4 linked regions of the Saccharomyces cerevisiae S288C genome follow. The gene in region 4 interacts genetically with the main gene of each other region. Each region holds a gene or a part of one and is shown on either strand. Other genes may lie near its edges.

The links.
Region 1: mutations in SLX5 (region 4) and NUP60 together harm fitness more than expected from each alone (negative genetic interaction), as found in Saccharomyces cerevisiae (6 studies listed by BioGRID, with this or other methods).
Region 2: mutations in SLX5 (region 4) and LSM1 together harm fitness more than expected from each alone (negative genetic interaction), as found in Saccharomyces cerevisiae (6 studies listed by BioGRID, with this or other methods).
Region 3: mutations in SLX5 (region 4) and ARP6 together harm fitness more than expected from each alone (negative genetic interaction), as found in Saccharomyces cerevisiae (5 studies listed by BioGRID, with this or other methods).

Annotation. Positions count from the first base shown.
Region 1 is NC_001133.9:150,688-154,838, forward strand, and holds NUP60 (FG-nucleoporin NUP60), read left to right. Parts: upstream 1-1,569; coding exon 1,570-3,189; downstream 3,190-4,151. Other genes in the region: transcription factor TFIIIC subunit TFC3, read right to left, coding at 1-319, 410-479; ERP1 (Erp1p), read right to left, coding at 3,378-4,037. UniProt on the Saccharomyces cerevisiae protein: Functions as a component of the nuclear pore complex (NPC).
Region 2 is NC_001142.9:186,258-189,838, reverse strand, and holds LSM1 (Lsm1p), read left to right. Parts: upstream 1-2,194; coding exon 2,195-2,713; downstream 2,714-3,581. Other genes in the region: ALB1 (Alb1p), read right to left, coding at 1-123; DUF5427 domain-containing protein MTC1, read left to right, coding at 399-1,835; tRNA 1-methyladenosine methyltransferase subunit GCD14, read left to right, coding at 3,160-3,581. UniProt on the Saccharomyces cerevisiae protein: Component of the cytoplasmic LSM1-LSM7 complex which is involved in mRNA degradation by activating the decapping step.
Region 3 is NC_001144.5:299,850-304,437, forward strand, and holds ARP6 (Arp6p), read right to left. Parts: upstream 2,141-4,588; coding exon 824-2,140; downstream 1-823. Other genes in the region: RAX2 (Rax2p), read right to left, coding at 1-402; condensin subunit SMC4, read left to right, coding at 2,394-4,588. UniProt on the Saccharomyces cerevisiae protein: Component of the SWR1 complex which mediates the ATP-dependent exchange of histone H2A for the H2A variant HZT1 leading to transcriptional regulation of selected genes by chromatin remodeling. Involved in chromosome stability.
Region 4 is NC_001136.10:426,475-431,756, reverse strand, and holds SLX5 (SUMO-targeted ubiquitin ligase complex subunit SLX5), read right to left. Parts: upstream 2,691-5,282; coding exon 831-2,690; downstream 1-830. Other genes in the region: YDL012C (uncharacterized protein), read left to right, coding at 240-284, 371-649; rRNA methyltransferase NOP1, read right to left, coding at 3,410-4,393; trans-2-enoyl-CoA reductase (NADPH) TSC13, read left to right, coding at 4,823-5,282. UniProt on the Saccharomyces cerevisiae protein: Component of the SUMO-targeted ubiquitin ligase (STUbL) complex SLX5/SLX8 that mediates ubiquitination and subsequent desumoylation of sumoylated proteins and proteins containing SUMO-like domains for their degradation.

The sequences.
Region 1 (4,151 bases), on a different chromosome or scaffold from region 4:
AAATCCATAGTATTGATCCCTTTTTCTCCTGATTTGGCAACTTCGAGAAGTAGTTCAAATGCAGAATTTCCAATAGTTGACTCCTTTTTTGTGTATCCCGTTAATAATGTCCATAGGCTGTCCTCAGTAATCCCAACCGAGTATGAATGATTAGCGTCGCCTATAATATCAGTCACATTTTTAGTTGTTATAGCACCATCACAATACACCTCAATGTCCTTTTTCAATATCACGCATGAAAGCACGAACTGTTTAACTTTTTTATCAGACAAATCAAAATATTTACCAGATATATCCCACAGCTGATTCAAAGTGATTTCTTCAATGTGTCGTTAGTAAATAATCTTTCACAATATAGTACGTTTATCACCTAAACGGAGCCGAAAAGGAGAATGAGACATGAACATACTTCCCTTATTTGAAGCAATTTTATCAGACACTATTTGTACGAGTTCGTCAGGATAAATCGTCAGTACCATTTTTCTTGTGGCTAGTTGGCTTCAACCAAACGTCCTCTTCTCTCTTATGGCAAGAAGAAAGTTATATGTGTGACTGGTTGTTTATTTCACTTTCGCGACTGAAAGCGCCGCCCTTTATGATGCAAAAAACCAAGCGGTATTTGAAAATGCAGATTTGCAGAAATAAAAGAAATAAAAATAAAAATCTTATAATTTTACCAGCTTCAATAACTCGATTTGCATAAGTGTGCCTTAGTATGCTTATTATATTGACTTTGACATTGAACTTCAAAACCTTTTATGTAATGATTTAAGTCTTGTCACATGACATAATAATAAATAATTTTAAAAATATAAAATATTTTTAATAGTTTTTAAATATTTTACAGTTTATTTTTTAAATTTATTTATATGTTTTTGTTTTCCGAAGCAGTCAAAGTATTTTAATTTTCGGAGCTTTCATTTCAAGCGCCTTTTTTTTACACATAATACGATCAAGATAAATTATTATAGTGGTACAGAACTCTTAAGCACTAGGCGGTGGACCTTATTAGCTCAATCTTGAGTCAGTCCATGTATCGTTTTATAATACTTTTTTAAGCACTTTCTTTAATAAATATTCCATTGAAGTACTGTTACTGAAATGAGATGAACTGTTCAGAATGTAGAAATGGCGCCAGAAATCAATCATTGTTTAGCAAAAACACCTTTCGTCTGCTGCCTCGGGTGTTTTTTCAAATTATTTCAGCAGGTAAATTAAGATAGTTATTCGAGTGATTGCCAAATATCATGTTCTACTTCGAAGACTTATAGCTAATTAATTTTTTCATAATGAAGGTGTCGTTAATTGTTCTGATTAGTAACATGAAACTCAAAAATCATCAAAAAAAGAAAAGCTAAATGTATACTTTTTTGTCTACATTAGTTACCTTTTATTACATGAGAAAGTTATTTTTCTTCTTTTTTTTTTTTTTTTTTTGAAACTTTTTCCTCTCGGAAAATAAAAGATATATTTACAAGTGAAAGCTTATTGTAATGTGTACTTTTAAACATCAAATAACAGACCTTTACATCAAATAAGCACCGCAAGATATCCTAAAATCGACATCCAATGCATCGTAAATCATTGAGGAGGGCTAGCGCTACTGTGCCTTCCGCTCCCTATCGAAAGCAGATTATTAGCAATGCACACAATAAACCAAGCCTTTTCTCTAAAATTAAAACTTTCTTTACCCAAAAAGATTCAGCCAGAGTGAGTCCAAGGAATAATGTTGCTAATAAACAACCACGCAATGAGTCTTTTAACAGAAGAATCTCAAGTATGCCTGGAGGTTATTTCCATTCTGAGATATCCCCAGATTCTACTGTAAACCGTTCCGTAGTTGTTTCTGCAGTGGGTGAAGCCAGAAACGACATTGAGAATAAAGAAGAGGAGTATGATGAAACACATGAAACTAACATCTCCAATGCAAAGCTTGCAAACTTTTTTAGTAAAAAAGGTAATGAGCCTTTATCAGAAATTGAAATAGAGGGTGTGATGTCATTGTTACAAAAATCAAGCAAATCCATGATAACTTCGGAAGGAGAACAAAAATCAGCCGAAGGTAATAATATCGACCAGTCGCTTATCTTGAAGGAGTCAGGAAGTACACCAATCAGCATATCTAATGCGCCGACCTTCAACCCAAAATATGATACTTCAAATGCGTCAATGAATACGACTTTGGGAAGCATTGGTTCAAGAAAATACAGTTTCAATTATTCTAGCCTGCCCTCACCATACAAAACAACCGTTTATAGATATAGTGCAGCGAAAAAGATCCCCGATACATACACAGCCAACACATCTGCTCAAAGTATAGCATCTGCTAAATCGGTAAGAAGTGGTGTTTCAAAGTCAGCTCCTAGTAAGAAAATAAGTAATACAGCTGCGGCATTGGTCTCACTATTAGATGAAAATGACAGTAAGAAGAATAATGCAGCTTCAGAACTTGCTAATCCATACTCCTCATATGTAAGCCAAATACGCAAACATAAGAGAGTTTCTCCAAATGCTGCACCAAGGCAAGAGATCAGTGAAGAAGAAACTACTGTTAAGCCATTATTTCAAAACGTTCCTGAACAAGGCGAAGAACCAATGAAACAACTGAACGCCACCAAAATTTCACCATCTGCGCCAAGCAAAGATTCTTTTACTAAATACAAACCTGCAAGGTCCTCATCCTTACGCTCAAATGTCGTCGTAGCTGAAACCTCACCTGAAAAGAAGGATGGTGGAGATAAACCTCCATCCTCTGCTTTTAACTTCTCGTTTAATACTTCAAGAAACGTTGAACCTACTGAGAATGCTTATAAGAGCGAGAACGCACCATCTGCATCATCAAAGGAATTCAATTTTACCAACCTACAGGCGAAGCCGTTAGTTGGAAAGCCAAAAACCGAACTTACAAAGGGCGATTCTACTCCCGTCCAACCAGATCTTTCGGTTACTCCTCAAAAAAGTTCATCGAAAGGCTTTGTTTTTAATAGTGTTCAAAAGAAATCACGGTCCAATCTTTCACAAGAAAACGATAATGAAGGTAAACATATCAGCGCCTCAATTGATAACGACTTTTCAGAGGAAAAGGCGGAAGAGTTTGATTTCAATGTTCCCGTGGTGTCTAAGCAGCTAGGAAATGGCTTGGTTGATGAAAATAAAGTTGAGGCTTTCAAGTCCCTATATACCTTTTGATAATGAAAATTTTAGCCGTGACATAATTACCGTATAGCCCAACTCAATACGTAAGTTTGTGTAAAATACCATTCCAAGATGATATTATTTAGTCATTTTTTTTCCACTTTCTCAAAAAGAAGGAATACCTTTAGCGGCTCTTATAAACTATAAATTTCTAGAAGATACATAAAAGGTTTTTAGTCTGATCATAAAATTTTTTGCTTAACAAAAAATTTGCCCAGGTGTTTCATTTGCCAGCCACAAGTAACAGCGAGAACAATTAATTGAATGACAATCCACCACATAGCACGAGAATTAACAGCTTCAGAGGCGTCTCTAAAGGTAGCTTCACGATCTCTCATCAATTTTTGCTCTCTTCTAATTTCGCCGATCTTGGAGTTTAGGACGTTAACCTTGGCATGTAGAATGTCAATAGTGGCTTTACCCTTAGAATCTAACTTTTCATCAGAGCCCACTTGGAATTCAACGTCAATCTTCGTTTTAGCCTTAATCAACCAGCCACCAGCTTCGGGCTGAATACAGATTTTATGTTCACCCGAATCAGACGCAAGGAAAGTTAAATCACCACTTGCTGAACCTTTCTGATGAACAACCAGGTGGTTATCATCAAAAGTTTCCTCAATATCAATCAAGACACCAAAATCTTGCGCACCAGCGTCTCTGTAATTTTGTAATTGGTCATCGTAAATTTGTGCCTTGTAAGTTGCTTGGAACAAAGTACCTTTAGACAATTCCTTGTGGAAGCACTTACGTTCAGCACCAGAAGTATAATAATAGAACGCAGTAACTTGAGCTGGTAAAACTAGACAGCAGGCAAAAACCTGTAAAAGAGAGGTTAAAAGCATGATTAGTAGAGAGATTGGTTACCTTTAAATACTTTTCCAAACTACAGAGGGAAGATAGAGTAAGTTTTGTATGTACACATTTCTGCTGATGTGTTTTTTTTTTTCAACTTATTA
Region 2 (3,581 bases), on a different chromosome or scaffold from region 4:
GGATCTAGCTGGCTTCAAGAGACCAGCTCTTTCTCTTTGAGCTCTTTTCTTATTTAAAGAGTGCACCTTGTGGTGCAAATTTGAAGTCAGCTTAGGTCTGTTGATGGAGTTTTTAGAAGGCATTATGGGTTGGCTGTGCTAGTCTCTTCGGCAAGCACCTCATCGACTAATGCCGCCATAAGTTATAACCATATATTAATATTGATACTCTCTATGAAAATTTTAGCGAAAAAAAATTTTGCGATGAGATCATTCCAAACGGATTGACGCGTGGAAGAAACCGGCGATTTTCTGGTTTCTGGTTCTTTGATGGAAGTTGGACGAGACGGTGAAGAATAGAACAAGGGACAGGTTAACTAGACTCAATCGATTAAAAACATACATACTACCAGGGCAAAATGTCTGAAAATAAGAACTCTGAGGCTGAAGACGTATTTGAATTTTTAGATTCTTTGCCAGAAGCAAAGAATGGCGGGAAAATGGTTAATACTGACGTAAAGGGTAGCCAAGAAGGCGTTAAGGGAGGTTCTAATTCTGTGGCGGGCAAGACCGGGAATGATGGAAAGAAAGGTGACGATGATATCTTTGAATTCTTAGAAGAGTTGGAGAAGAGTAACTTAAGCTTAACTGACAAGAAAGGGGTTGAAAAGAAGGCTCCCAGTGAATCAGTTAATAATAAAGCACAAGACGAAAAAGTAGAAGAATCAAAAGAAAACAAAAATTCCGAGCAGGACGCTCACGGAAAGGAAAAGGAACCACAGCAGCAGGAGAAAGAAGAAGAAGAGGAGGAAGAAGAAGAAGAAGAAGAGGAGGAGGAGGAGACCCCATTGCATGACCCAATTGCTTCTATTTCAAACTGGTGGTCCTCCTCTGGATCCGCAAAGGTATCGAGTATTTGGAATAAAACTGCAGAACAAGCATCCCAGATCAAAAACCGACTTGCCCAAGAACAGCTTGATTTGACTTCAAAGATAAACACGAGCACGATTACTGAAATAGCCAGAAACTTACAGAAAATCGTTGTTGGTGAGACTGAAGAGGTGCTGCGAATTCATCTAGTCCATGATTTGGTTAACTATCCCTCATTACAATACAATATTGAAAGCAAGTTTGATCAAGTTCTAAGCTCACAAGTTGAGGGAGGAATCAGAATATTTGTAGATGAATGGGGCCATCCTAACAATAATGGAATTACACCTGTGGAAAAAAAGCCTTCAGTTGCAGACGGTGAGTTAGGCAACTCTAAAAAAAAATTACAGTTTAATCTATTCGACGGCAAGGTAACAGACGGTGAGAAACTGGCATTTGCAAACCTGGAAAATGCAGTCAAACTCTTCAATACTGCACATGAGGAATACCAGAAACAACAGAAAGAGGCTGATGCCACTCCAGATGACGATAGGAGTTCTATTAGCAGTAACAGCAATAAAATCAGTGATTTATTCATATCCATCTTACCAATTGCCATTCCGCAAAAACAAAAAGATGCCGACGGTGACTTTCAAGTGACCGACTCCAATACGCCAGGCAATTTCAATTTCACCCTTGTATTGAAAGACATAACTAACGATATTACCACCATAACAAGATCACAAGGATTCCCTGTCAAATGGGTCAATTGGCTAGAAGGATCCGTGGAGAAAACAGGATCAACAGCAAGTGAGGAGAGGAATAAGTCATACGATCAAAAGAAACAAAAAGAAAGTGAAGACGAAGACGAAGACGATGAGATCATTGATCCTAGTGAATGGGTAAAGGAATGGATCGAAGATGGATTAAGCTTGTCATTTGGGGTCATGGCACAGAATTATGTCATTGACCGTATGGGTCTTTGATACACTTAATACATAACATTTATAGCGTAACGATGATGTATAAAGTTACAAGCGCAGAGGAGTGGGTTCAAATTCGGCCGACTTGTTACCCGCGTTCGTTGAATAATGGAAAATATGAAAAAAATAGAGGAAGTCGTGAATATACAACGGTGTTCAGCACCTGTATTTCAATCTAGGGGAAGCCTGTATGACCAAGGGCTGATTAAATATTAGTGAAGATACAAGTAACACAGTTTAGTTATATTTTCTTTTCCTTTTCAACAGGATTGCCAACGCTGCAGTAGAGTTATACCAACATTTGCTCCGCTTTCAAAACCTATAAAAGAAAGCAGCCCTCGAATCGAATTAATTCACCAAAAATGTCTGCAAATAGCAAGGACAGAAATCAGTCCAATCAGGATGCGAAGCGACAACAGCAGAATTTCCCAAAGAAGATTTCAGAAGGTGAGGCCGATTTATATCTCGACCAGTATAACTTCACTACCACCGCTGCTATTGTAAGCTCAGTAGACCGTAAAATCTTCGTTCTTTTGCGTGATGGAAGAATGCTATTCGGTGTACTAAGAACCTTTGACCAATATGCAAATTTGATACTTCAAGATTGCGTGGAGAGAATATATTTTAGCGAAGAAAACAAATACGCTGAAGAAGACCGCGGCATATTCATGATTCGTGGTGAAAATGTTGTCATGTTAGGCGAAGTAGACATCGATAAAGAAGATCAACCCCTTGAGGCCATGGAACGCATACCATTTAAGGAGGCTTGGCTGACCAAGCAAAAAAATGATGAGAAAAGGTTTAAAGAGGAAACCCACAAAGGTAAAAAAATGGCCCGCCATGGTATCGTTTACGATTTCCATAAATCTGACATGTACTAAGAAAGAAAAACACAATACTACCAACATATATCCTGGAGTAAACTCTCAAAAATTTCCACATTCAGTTTTACCTATCCGTACACTTAATCAACTGCCTTTGGAGATGGAACAATAAAAAAAATGCAAGAGAGGAGGCCGTATTTGTATATAAATTAATATATTTAAATGTAAAATATATACAGTACTTGAGTTTTTTTATGAAGTAACGTATTTGCGCAGCATTCTTTTTCCTCTTACACTTCGTTATAACATTAACACTCATGCTATTGATACTTTTTCTTTATTATTATCTATAAAATTTTTTCGCTTTTTGTTTATGCCATGCCGTTAGCAACGAATTTTTTTCCATGCTCATCACTTTTAAAACTGTTTAAAGTATATAGAAAATATATGTGAATAAGATCGGGGTGGGACTATCAGGTAGCTAAGATTACGCAGATTTAGAAATGTCAACAAATTGTTTTTCCGGTTACAAAGACCTCATCAAGGAAGGCGATTTAACTCTAATATGGGTTTCTAGAGATAACATCAAACCGGTAAGGATGCATTCCGAAGAGGTATTCAATACTCGTTATGGTTCATTTCCTCATAAGGATATCATAGGTAAACCTTATGGTTCTCAAATTGCTATAAGAACAAAGGGCTCAAATAAGTTTGCATTCGTCCATGTTCTGCAACCAACTCCTGAATTGTGGACTTTGTCGTTACCACACAGAACTCAAATTGTATATACGCCCGACTCTTCCTACATCATGCAAAGGTTGAATTGTAGCCCTCACAGCAGAGTGATCGAGGCAGGTACAGGCTCAGGATCATTTTCGCACGCTTTTGCAAGATCTGTAGGTCATCTTTTTAGTTTTGAATTTCA
Region 3 (4,588 bases), on a different chromosome or scaffold from region 4:
ATTGTATAATATCTGGTTTCCGACAGAGATATTGTTTATCGTGCCTGATCCGCTAAGAATAAACGAATCAACGCCAAATGGTGTAATTTTGTCTATTCGAGTATCATCAGAGGCATCTTCCAACTGGATATAGGTGTTGTTAGAGTAATAAACTAATCCATGTGAGCTTGTTTCTGGACCTATTTCTTTAGTGAAATTTTGTTGGCCTGTGTACTCGTAAAAAGATAAGGCGTCCACACCCCCGAGGATTTGTACTGCGTTGCTATTATTTTGCGATATATTCAAATTCGGTAGCACATTATCTTCGATGTCCAGAAGAGATTTAATATTCTCCAACTGTGATGCCTTCGATATCTCCACAAGAAAAGGAAATGCGAGTGTCCAGAGACGATGAACAAACATTTAATTTCTATATCGTAACGAAGAACAGGTGTATTTTGATCGTTTTCTCTTGCGTTTCTTCGTTTCCCGGTCAATCAACTGTATAAATATAAAACGAAAATTGTATTATCTTCTCCTACAAAGTCTAGTATGGGGATGATTAAAGCGCACACTTTCCTTCGAGACTTCTGATGATGACATTTCCACATTTCCATATATTTCTTTTTTTGTATCGCGAAAAAATGGGAAGAATGGCGTTTCTAACCACTAAAAAAGAGGAATTTTTGCCTAATTTGGGAATTTGTCAATAAAAATGTAAAACATATGAGATGTATTATTGCCTGCGGAAGATTCTTAAAAACATGACAAAATCCAAATTGAAAATGACCTGAAGGTCTCGACTTTTCGGATTTTCATTGTTGCTATGTAAATCTATAGTTAATTATATCCAATTCTGGTAACCAAACCTGTGCTTCGTACACCAATCGGGACCATGCTCATAGTATTCTTCTCTTGTGACCCTCGCTTTTCGGTAGGAATCTGTCTTTGCAAACTGTGACATCACTTCCCACCCAAACAGAGCACAGTCACCTTCGGGCACCGAAACATGACAAGTCCAATCTGTGGGTAATTGCCTTTGTAGTTCTGCCGCAAGCCGTTGGGCGAAATTGGGCAGATTAAAGTTTCCTCCTGTACATACAATGTTTCCTACCATAAGAGGTCGCACTATTTCGGGCAACATGGAAAGGCTCTCTAGGATGGCCTCCACAATGCCTGGTTTAGTAATTTGCGAAATTTCTGGATGGAAAAAAGTTTCTGGTATTGTGAAAAGCTCATCTGTCAGTGTTATGATCTGCGCATCTTCAGGTAACGGTACATTTTCTTTTCTGGGGTTTCTTACGTAACCAAGAAAGCTTGTTTGGAAGTCAGGAAGTACATATTCTAGTGCATGCTTATCCTTCGTTTTGAAACTATCAAAATAAGACACCGGGCTAACGAACAAGCATTGTTCCTTGATATTGTTAACAAGTATGGTTTCATCCATCATATTGTAGTGTCTGAATGATAGAGTTTCCTTTAGTAGCCCAGTTAGGAAACGGCCTCCAATGTCCAATTTTTTTACCGCTTTATAGTACGGTATTCCCTTCAGGACAGGAATTATCCAAGTACAATTAAACCCGGAATCAATAACTAATTGGAAATCATGATAATCGCTACCTGAATCCTGCGCATTCTTGGACTCGCTTGATGTGGAATTTGTACTGTCTGAGTTGCCACGGACAATATCGATATCTTCGTCCTTACCTGAAATTGTTCTCATTTCACCCTTATATGACTTGGTAAATGGTACAAAGACTGCTACAGGAGACTTGAAAAGACTGTCGAATTCATATTCTTCAAATATCACCTGGTCGGCATGCTTACTTAATTCTGGTAAAGTCATACAGCTCTCGCTAGCAACCAAATGATGACCCTTTCCCTCTTTCAGATCAAACCCATCAAACTCTGAAGGATTGAAAAGGCAATAATCCCATATACAACTCTCTAATTCCCATAATGTGAGCTGTCCTAGTTCATGTGGCCTCCTGAAGGTGATAGATGAAATATCTTTGATGTTTTTGATATGATTTGATAAATACGATGTCCCAAATTTATCTTTGGCCAATGCATTTAAAGCTCGGAACGGTTTCTTATTCGTGGAAGGACCAAACTTGATTTCGTATGAGCCATTATCAATCACAATGGGTGGTGTTTCCATAGTTTAAATTATCTTGTCCACGATTCTGCGCTTCTTCTCCTTTGGTCTTGCATTAATTCTCTTGTTCTTCTTGGCCCATTTTGAAATGCATTTGTAATTATGGACGGAAAGTAAACTGTTTACAATAATCACGAAAATACATATAGGTTTACATTATCTACACACTGGAATCGATTTCATACCATAAAAGAGGCCCTATAAGAAGCCGCATCACCTTAAACACTAACCACGTGCAACCAACAGAATATATTTGATGTCTGATAGTCCATTGAGCAAAAGACAAAAGCGGAAGTCCGCCCAAGAACCAGAATTATCTCTTGATCAAGGTGATGCCGAAGAAGATTCGCAGGTAGAAAACCGAGTTAACCTAAGCGAGAATACACCAGAGCCGGATCTTCCTGCGTTGGAAGCATCTTATTCCAAATCTTATACTCCCAGAAAGCTTGTTTTAAGTTCTGGGGAAAATCGGTATGCCTTTTCTCAACCTACAAACTCAACAACCACGTCATTACATGTACCGAACTTGCAACCACCAAAAACCTCTTCTAGGGGTCGCGACCATAAGTCCTACTCTCAATCACCACCAAGGTCTCCAGGAAGATCGCCAACTAGAAGATTAGAATTGCTCCAGCTTTCGCCAGTGAAAAATAGCAGGGTTGAACTACAAAAAATTTATGATAGGCACCAGTCGTCGAGCAAGCAACAGAGCAGACTATTTATTAACGAACTAGTCTTAGAGAACTTCAAGTCCTACGCTGGTAAACAAGTAGTAGGACCCTTTCATACTAGCTTCTCGGCCGTGGTAGGCCCCAATGGTTCAGGTAAATCAAATGTCATCGATTCCATGTTATTTGTATTTGGATTTAGAGCGAACAAGATGAGACAGGACAGATTGTCGGATTTAATTCATAAATCAGAAGCTTTCCCAAGTTTGCAATCATGTTCCGTAGCTGTACATTTTCAGTACGTTATTGATGAATCTTCGGGTACTTCCCGAATCGATGAAGAAAAACCTGGATTGATCATTACAAGGAAAGCCTTTAAAAACAACTCATCGAAATATTACATAAACGAAAAAGAAAGTAGCTACACAGAGGTGACAAAGCTTTTAAAGAATGAGGGTATTGATTTAGACCATAAACGATTTTTAATTCTACAAGGTGAAGTAGAGAATATTGCTCAAATGAAGCCTAAAGCAGAAAAAGAGAGTGACGACGGACTACTGGAATATCTGGAGGACATAATTGGAACTGCAAACTATAAGCCGTTAATTGAAGAGCGAATGGGACAGATTGAGAATCTAAATGAAGTTTGCCTGGAAAAGGAAAATAGATTTGAAATTGTTGATAGAGAAAAAAACTCTTTAGAGTCAGGGAAAGAAACGGCGTTAGAGTTTTTAGAGAAGGAAAAGCAGCTGACGCTTTTAAGATCAAAATTATTTCAATTTAAATTGTTGCAAAGCAACTCTAAACTTGCCAGCACCTTGGAAAAGATCTCCTCTTCGAATAAAGACCTCGAAGATGAGAAGATGAAATTTCAAGAATCTTTGAAAAAAGTGGATGAGATTAAAGCACAACGTAAGGAAATAAAAGATCGAATATCATCTTGTAGCTCGAAAGAAAAGACCCTGGTTTTAGAAAGAAGAGAATTAGAAGGCACCAGGGTGTCTCTAGAAGAGAGAACAAAAAATTTGGTAAGTAAAATGGAAAAAGCAGAAAAGACTTTGAAATCCACCAAACATTCAATATCGGAGGCCGAGAATATGCTTGAAGAGCTTCGTGGACAACAAACCGAACACGAGACGGAGATCAAAGACTTGACTCAATTGCTGGAAAAGGAACGAAGTATACTTGATGATATTAAACTATCTTTGAAAGATAAAACGAAGAATATATCTGCAGAGATTATTCGGCATGAAAAGGAACTGGAGCCTTGGGACCTCCAACTTCAGGAAAAAGAATCACAGATACAATTGGCTGAATCCGAACTATCTTTGTTGGAGGAAACTCAAGCTAAACTGAAAAAAAACGTTGAAACTTTAGAAGAAAAAATTCTTGCCAAGAAAACACACAAGCAGGAGCTACAAGATCTTATCCTCGATCTGAAAAAGAAGCTGAACTCACTTAAAGATGAAAGGTCGCAAGGTGAAAAGAATTTTACTTCTGCTCATCTAAAGTTAAAAGAAATGCAAAAGGTTTTGAACGCGCATCGCCAGCGTGCAATGGAAGCTAGATCCTCTTTATCAAAAGCTCAGAATAAAAGTAAGGTTTTAACAGCTTTATCGAGACTGCAAAAGTCAGGACGTATAAATGGTTTCCATGGACGTTTGGGCGATTTGGGCGTTATCGACGATAGTTTTGACGTTGCTATTTCTACTGCTTGTCCGAGACTAGATGATGTCGTGGTTGATACTGTAGAATGTGCGCAACACTGCATCGACTACTTAAG
Region 4 (5,282 bases):
GAGATCTTAAGCTCAGCCCAGTACATATGTCCATCAGCCTTGAATAGCCACGGTGAGTTCTCGAAGCTTCCTTCCACCTAGTCCAGAATATTTCTTGGTAAATGGCTCGAAGTTTTCGTATTAAACGATGCTATCAGCGGCATCGTGAAATATTGAAATATAAAAAGTATTTACGCAACCGAAAAGGATATTAAGACAAACCCATACAATAGCCCATAAACCAAGCAAATACACATCTCATGTCAGCTCAAGATTATTACGGAAACTCTGCCTCCAAACAAAGCGTACGTTAATTTTACAAGTTTTGCCTTTAGAAGATCACATCGTACTAACGAGCCCTTGTATTTTCATTACATCACTTTCGATTCAGTATTCTCGTCCTAGCGCTCCACCACCAGGATATGAAACGGCGTCTAGAGGTTACGCTCCATCGCAAAGCCAACAGAACTATTATCCACCTCAACAGCAGCAGCAGCAGTATCAGCAACAACCTCAATACTATCAGCAACAGCAGCCCCAATATTACCAACAACACCCACAGCAGCCCATTTATGTCCAACAACAACCGGCCAGTTCTGGAAATGAAGACTGTCTAGCGGGCTGTCTAGCGGGTTTATGTTTATGCTGTACTTTGGATATGCTGTTTTAGAGTATCTCCATATCTTGTGGGAGCAAACCCTTTCACACAAATCCACTATATAAAACAAAGCACAATTGCACCTCTGATCTTTTAATCTTAATTAAATAAGCGTGATTAAAGTGTTCATGCAAGTAGATAATATATAATGATGATAAGTTCGAAAATGCCCTTATAAAAATTAAACCGCGTGCTAGAAGTAAACCTCCTTCAACCTGCCTCTTGAACGAATAAGCTTCTTACAAGAATCTGCGGGACATAATTTGGGGCCATAATTATCCGGATGAGCCGAACCCTTTAGTTGAGCTAGTTTCTTTTTGGGCATCTTAGATTTTTTTTTTGCATTGTCAATCCTGGCGAAACACCTACCACAAAATGCATGACCACACGATGCAATAAACGTTCGTTTTGATAAATCTCTATCAAGCATTGATGGTCTGGCTAGGGTTTGGTAGGGGCAGTGGAATTTGTATTTTGACACTAACCCTTCAAATGAAACACCACGATCCTTTTGACTGATTCCAGTAAAATCATCCGGTATTCCGACCCCCAATTCTGCGCCACACAAGCAACAAACAGGAATATCCTCGAGTGTTTTTGCTAAATCGTCATCTGTCACAATGATGGTTTCTTCTTTACCATTTTTCGTAATGTCTAATTTCATTTTTGGCGTAGTATCAAATGACGCGCTATAACCTTCGGGTAGGCTGGCTGCCCTAGCTTCGAATTCTTCCTGTTGGGCTCTGGTTTTGTTCATTAGATTCTTCATGACCACATCCCGCTCTCGTTCTTCTCTCTCTTGGATCATATCAATGATATTTTGAGTGTGTCGTTCCTCGTCAGCATCGCTCAATGCTGGGCCACTCCACAAACGACTTAAGAACCCATCCTCTCCATTGAAATTAAGATAGTTTGTGATTGATTCACGTAATGTGCCACGATGGAAAACTCTTCCTGCCGTTCTTTCTTGTCTTTCCAATGCTTCTCGGTGAAGTCTCAAGGCCTCTTCCTGAGTATTTCTGACCCTATCAATGGCCCAATTCTGCAGCAGTTGATTTCTGAACTCAGTGAAGAGTGCCATTAGTTCTTCTTCACATTCTTGCAAAGTAATTGGAGCAACATTTTGTAAAATAGACCTGAATTCATGCAGTGACTCTGCACGATGAAAAGCACTACGAATATCAGGCGTATATGATTGTATTCGTTCCCTGATTGATTGTAACCTAATAGATGTACTTATATTTTCGTCACTGGACACCCTTTGCTGTTGTACCCTACGTTGTCTTTCTGCAATCCGTCTGCTCATTCGCATACGGCTCTCCCTACGAGCCCTTTGAATAGCTTCTGGTAAATTATGGGTATCATCTGTCCAATCTTCATCGTTTTCATCAGACCGGTCCACAAATAAATTACGGGCTCTTGTAGCACTCCTTCTCAGTAACTGCCTGCGTGATGCGCCTAGATCTTCTTGGAATTCAAATGACCTTCTTATCGGTATGTCTGTTGTCGTCGCAGTTACCTCAAGCCTCTCCCCGCCTGGCAGGTTCAGTGTCACTCTGGGTCGTGTTGTTCTCTCTTCAACTATTGTCAGGCCATCATCACTTTCATTGTTATTACCATTATCATTCAAGTACCCGTTTGTGTTATCTACTTGTATTGTTCTTGGAGTTTCTAACGTTTCAGAACCTGGCTCCTGATCAAGATCGACGTAATGTGCAGAAGGATCAATAGGTCCATCGTCTCCAAAAAACCGTCCAACTTCTCGTATTATAGTGATATCGTCGTTATTAGCTTGAAAATCAGGGCGCTCAGAGCTTGCTGTTATGTGAGTCCGTTGAGAATTCCTGCTCCTTGAATCTGACCTCACAAACCTATTTAAAGCATCACGTCGTCTCCCTACCCGTCTGTCTGGGTACAACCTCACAGGAAGGTTAGCCTCGCGAATAGAAGCGTCTTCTTCCTTATCACTATCTATTAATATAACTGTCTCATTTGGATTATTGTCTGATGGGCTATTATTGCTCTTTGTTCGACCGTTAGTATCGCTATGCATTCTATTATTTCGACTATTAGAGGAGCTCCGCGTTCCAAATAATAATTTTTGGACTGAAATCTTTTCAAAAGTTCACTCCTAGACTGAAGCTCCTAGTGCAAATTTCGACTTGGTTATTACCAATCAACGCAACACACGCTCTTCTTAATGATTAAGTCTTCGTTTTGGTCGCACACTGCCTCTCATCCATGTTAAATAGTAAATATTGCGACCTTGCGTATACAGTGATGTTTCTTATGGGCAAAGCCAAAAAAAAAAAAATACGTAAGAGTGACAGATGAAGAAGTGACACTTTGAACAAAAGACTCTATCAAAATTTTTTCAGATTCAATCCAAGGATAAAGAGAAATCTATGATGTAGTGTTACAAGAATTAATGATATATGGTCATCAAACAGTGTCGAGACTGGAGAACAGCTTATCGATATTGTTCCTACCTTTAAAAAACTCGAAATATGATTATGATTTCTACTTGCTTGCTCTTAACAATTAATGACCAAAAAGTCACCACATATACTCTTTTTTTTTTATATGGCGAATACGTACAATACTTTTGTTCTCTAAAAGAATTTAGTAATATCTATTTTACAAAGTCGAGGGTTACAAAAACTTCAAATAGGAAGTGAAACTGAATGGGGGAAATATATATAAACGAAACAATTATTCTGCTAATAATTGAGCAAGCTACCAGAAACTTTTGACTAATTTCCTTTATTCAACTTATTTCTTCAAACCGCTTCTCATGTATCTACCAACGACGATACAATGGTCTCTTTCATATGGCTCTAAAGTCAATTGTTCTAATGGCTTAATACGTTCCTCACGTAACTTTTGAACTTCTCTAGCAAAAACGGTTTCCGCGTCTACAGTAGAATCAATACAGTTAGCCTTAATGGAGATAACAACACCACCTTGGTCCTTCAAGAACATATGAGAGTTCAATGCAATAATACGAGCTTGATCAGGCTGGGCAACATCTGCGAAGACACAGTCAACCATACCAATCAACATTCTGTATTTTTGTGGGTGTCTAGCATCTTCAATGATTGGGATGATATTAGGTCTCTTCTTTGCCATAGAAATCAATTCTCTGCCTGGTCTGTGAGAAAATTCTACGGCGTAGACAACACCTTCTGGACCAACAACATCTGAAACGTGAGAAACAGAAGTACCGGAAGCAGCACCTAAATATAAAACTTTCTTGCCTGGGGCAATAAATAATTCATCTAGACCACCCATAATACCGGCAGCCAACTTAGATCTGAATGGGTTCCATACACGGTATTCGACCTTGGTTGGTGGGACACCATCTTCCTTAGATGGTTCTTCAACGGAGATTCTCTTTTCACCATAAACTGATTCACCTGGGGCCATGTTCTTGGTAACTAGCAAATCTTCTTTACCTCTAGCAATGTAAACACCGGCATGTCTATGTGGTTCAATAACGACCTTGGCACCACCACGGGCACCACCAGCAGCGCCACCTCTACCACCTCTGGAGCCACCACGGGCACCACCACGAGAACCGCCTCTACCACCGAAGCCGCCTCTGGAACCACCACGGGCACCACCACGAGAACCGCCTCTACCACCGAAGCCACCTCTGGAACCACCGCGAGCACCACCACGGGAACCGCCTCTACCACCGAAGCCACCTCTGGAACCTCCACGGGAACCACCTCTGCTACCTGGTCTGAATGACATTACTGTTTTAGTTGATTTGAGTTAATTTGATCGGAGTTATTGAAAGCAATGGGCAACTTAGATTTATCCGATGAATGATATCTAATTGTTTCTCGAAGAATAACTTATATAACAGTAGTATACCGATGTAAGGAAAACTTCTTGGCTATGTAAAACTTTTTGAAAGTTAGAGGAAGAAAGTATTATACATTCAAGAGAGATGAGCTTTCCAATTTGAAAAATTTTTCAAGAAAAAGAAAAAATTTGAAAAAAAAAAAAGAAAAATATAATAAACATATCATTTTGTACGCAAAAAGTTAAGGAATTATGAAAAGGGACTAAGAGCGTGAATTTTACAGAACGGAGGACAGTAAGATTATATTCTATTTAGCTATCTAGAAACCAATTGAGCTATTTGAGAGAGATACATATTTTGAATTTAATTTGAAAATGCCTATCACCATAAAAAGCCGCTCTAAAGGGTTAAGGGACACTGAAATTGACTTATCCAAAAAGCCTACTTTAGATGATGTTTTGAAAAAAATCTCTGCTAATAACCACAATATCAGCAAGTACAGGATAAGATTAACCTACAAAAAGGAATCTAAACAAGTTCCGGTTATTTCAGAATCGTTTTTTCAAGAAGAGGCTGATGACTCAATGGAATTCTTCATCAAAGATTTGGGTCCCCAAATTTCATGGAGATTAGTCTTCTTTTGTGAGTATTTGGGTCCAGTCTTGGTTCACTCCCTTTTTTATTATCTATCTACCATTCCCACAGTTGTTGATAGATGGCACAGTGCTAGCTCCGACTATAATCCATTTTTAAACAGGGTTGCATATTTTTTAATTTTAGGACATTATGGAAAGAGATTATTTGAAACCTTATTTGTTCACCAATTCTCTTTAG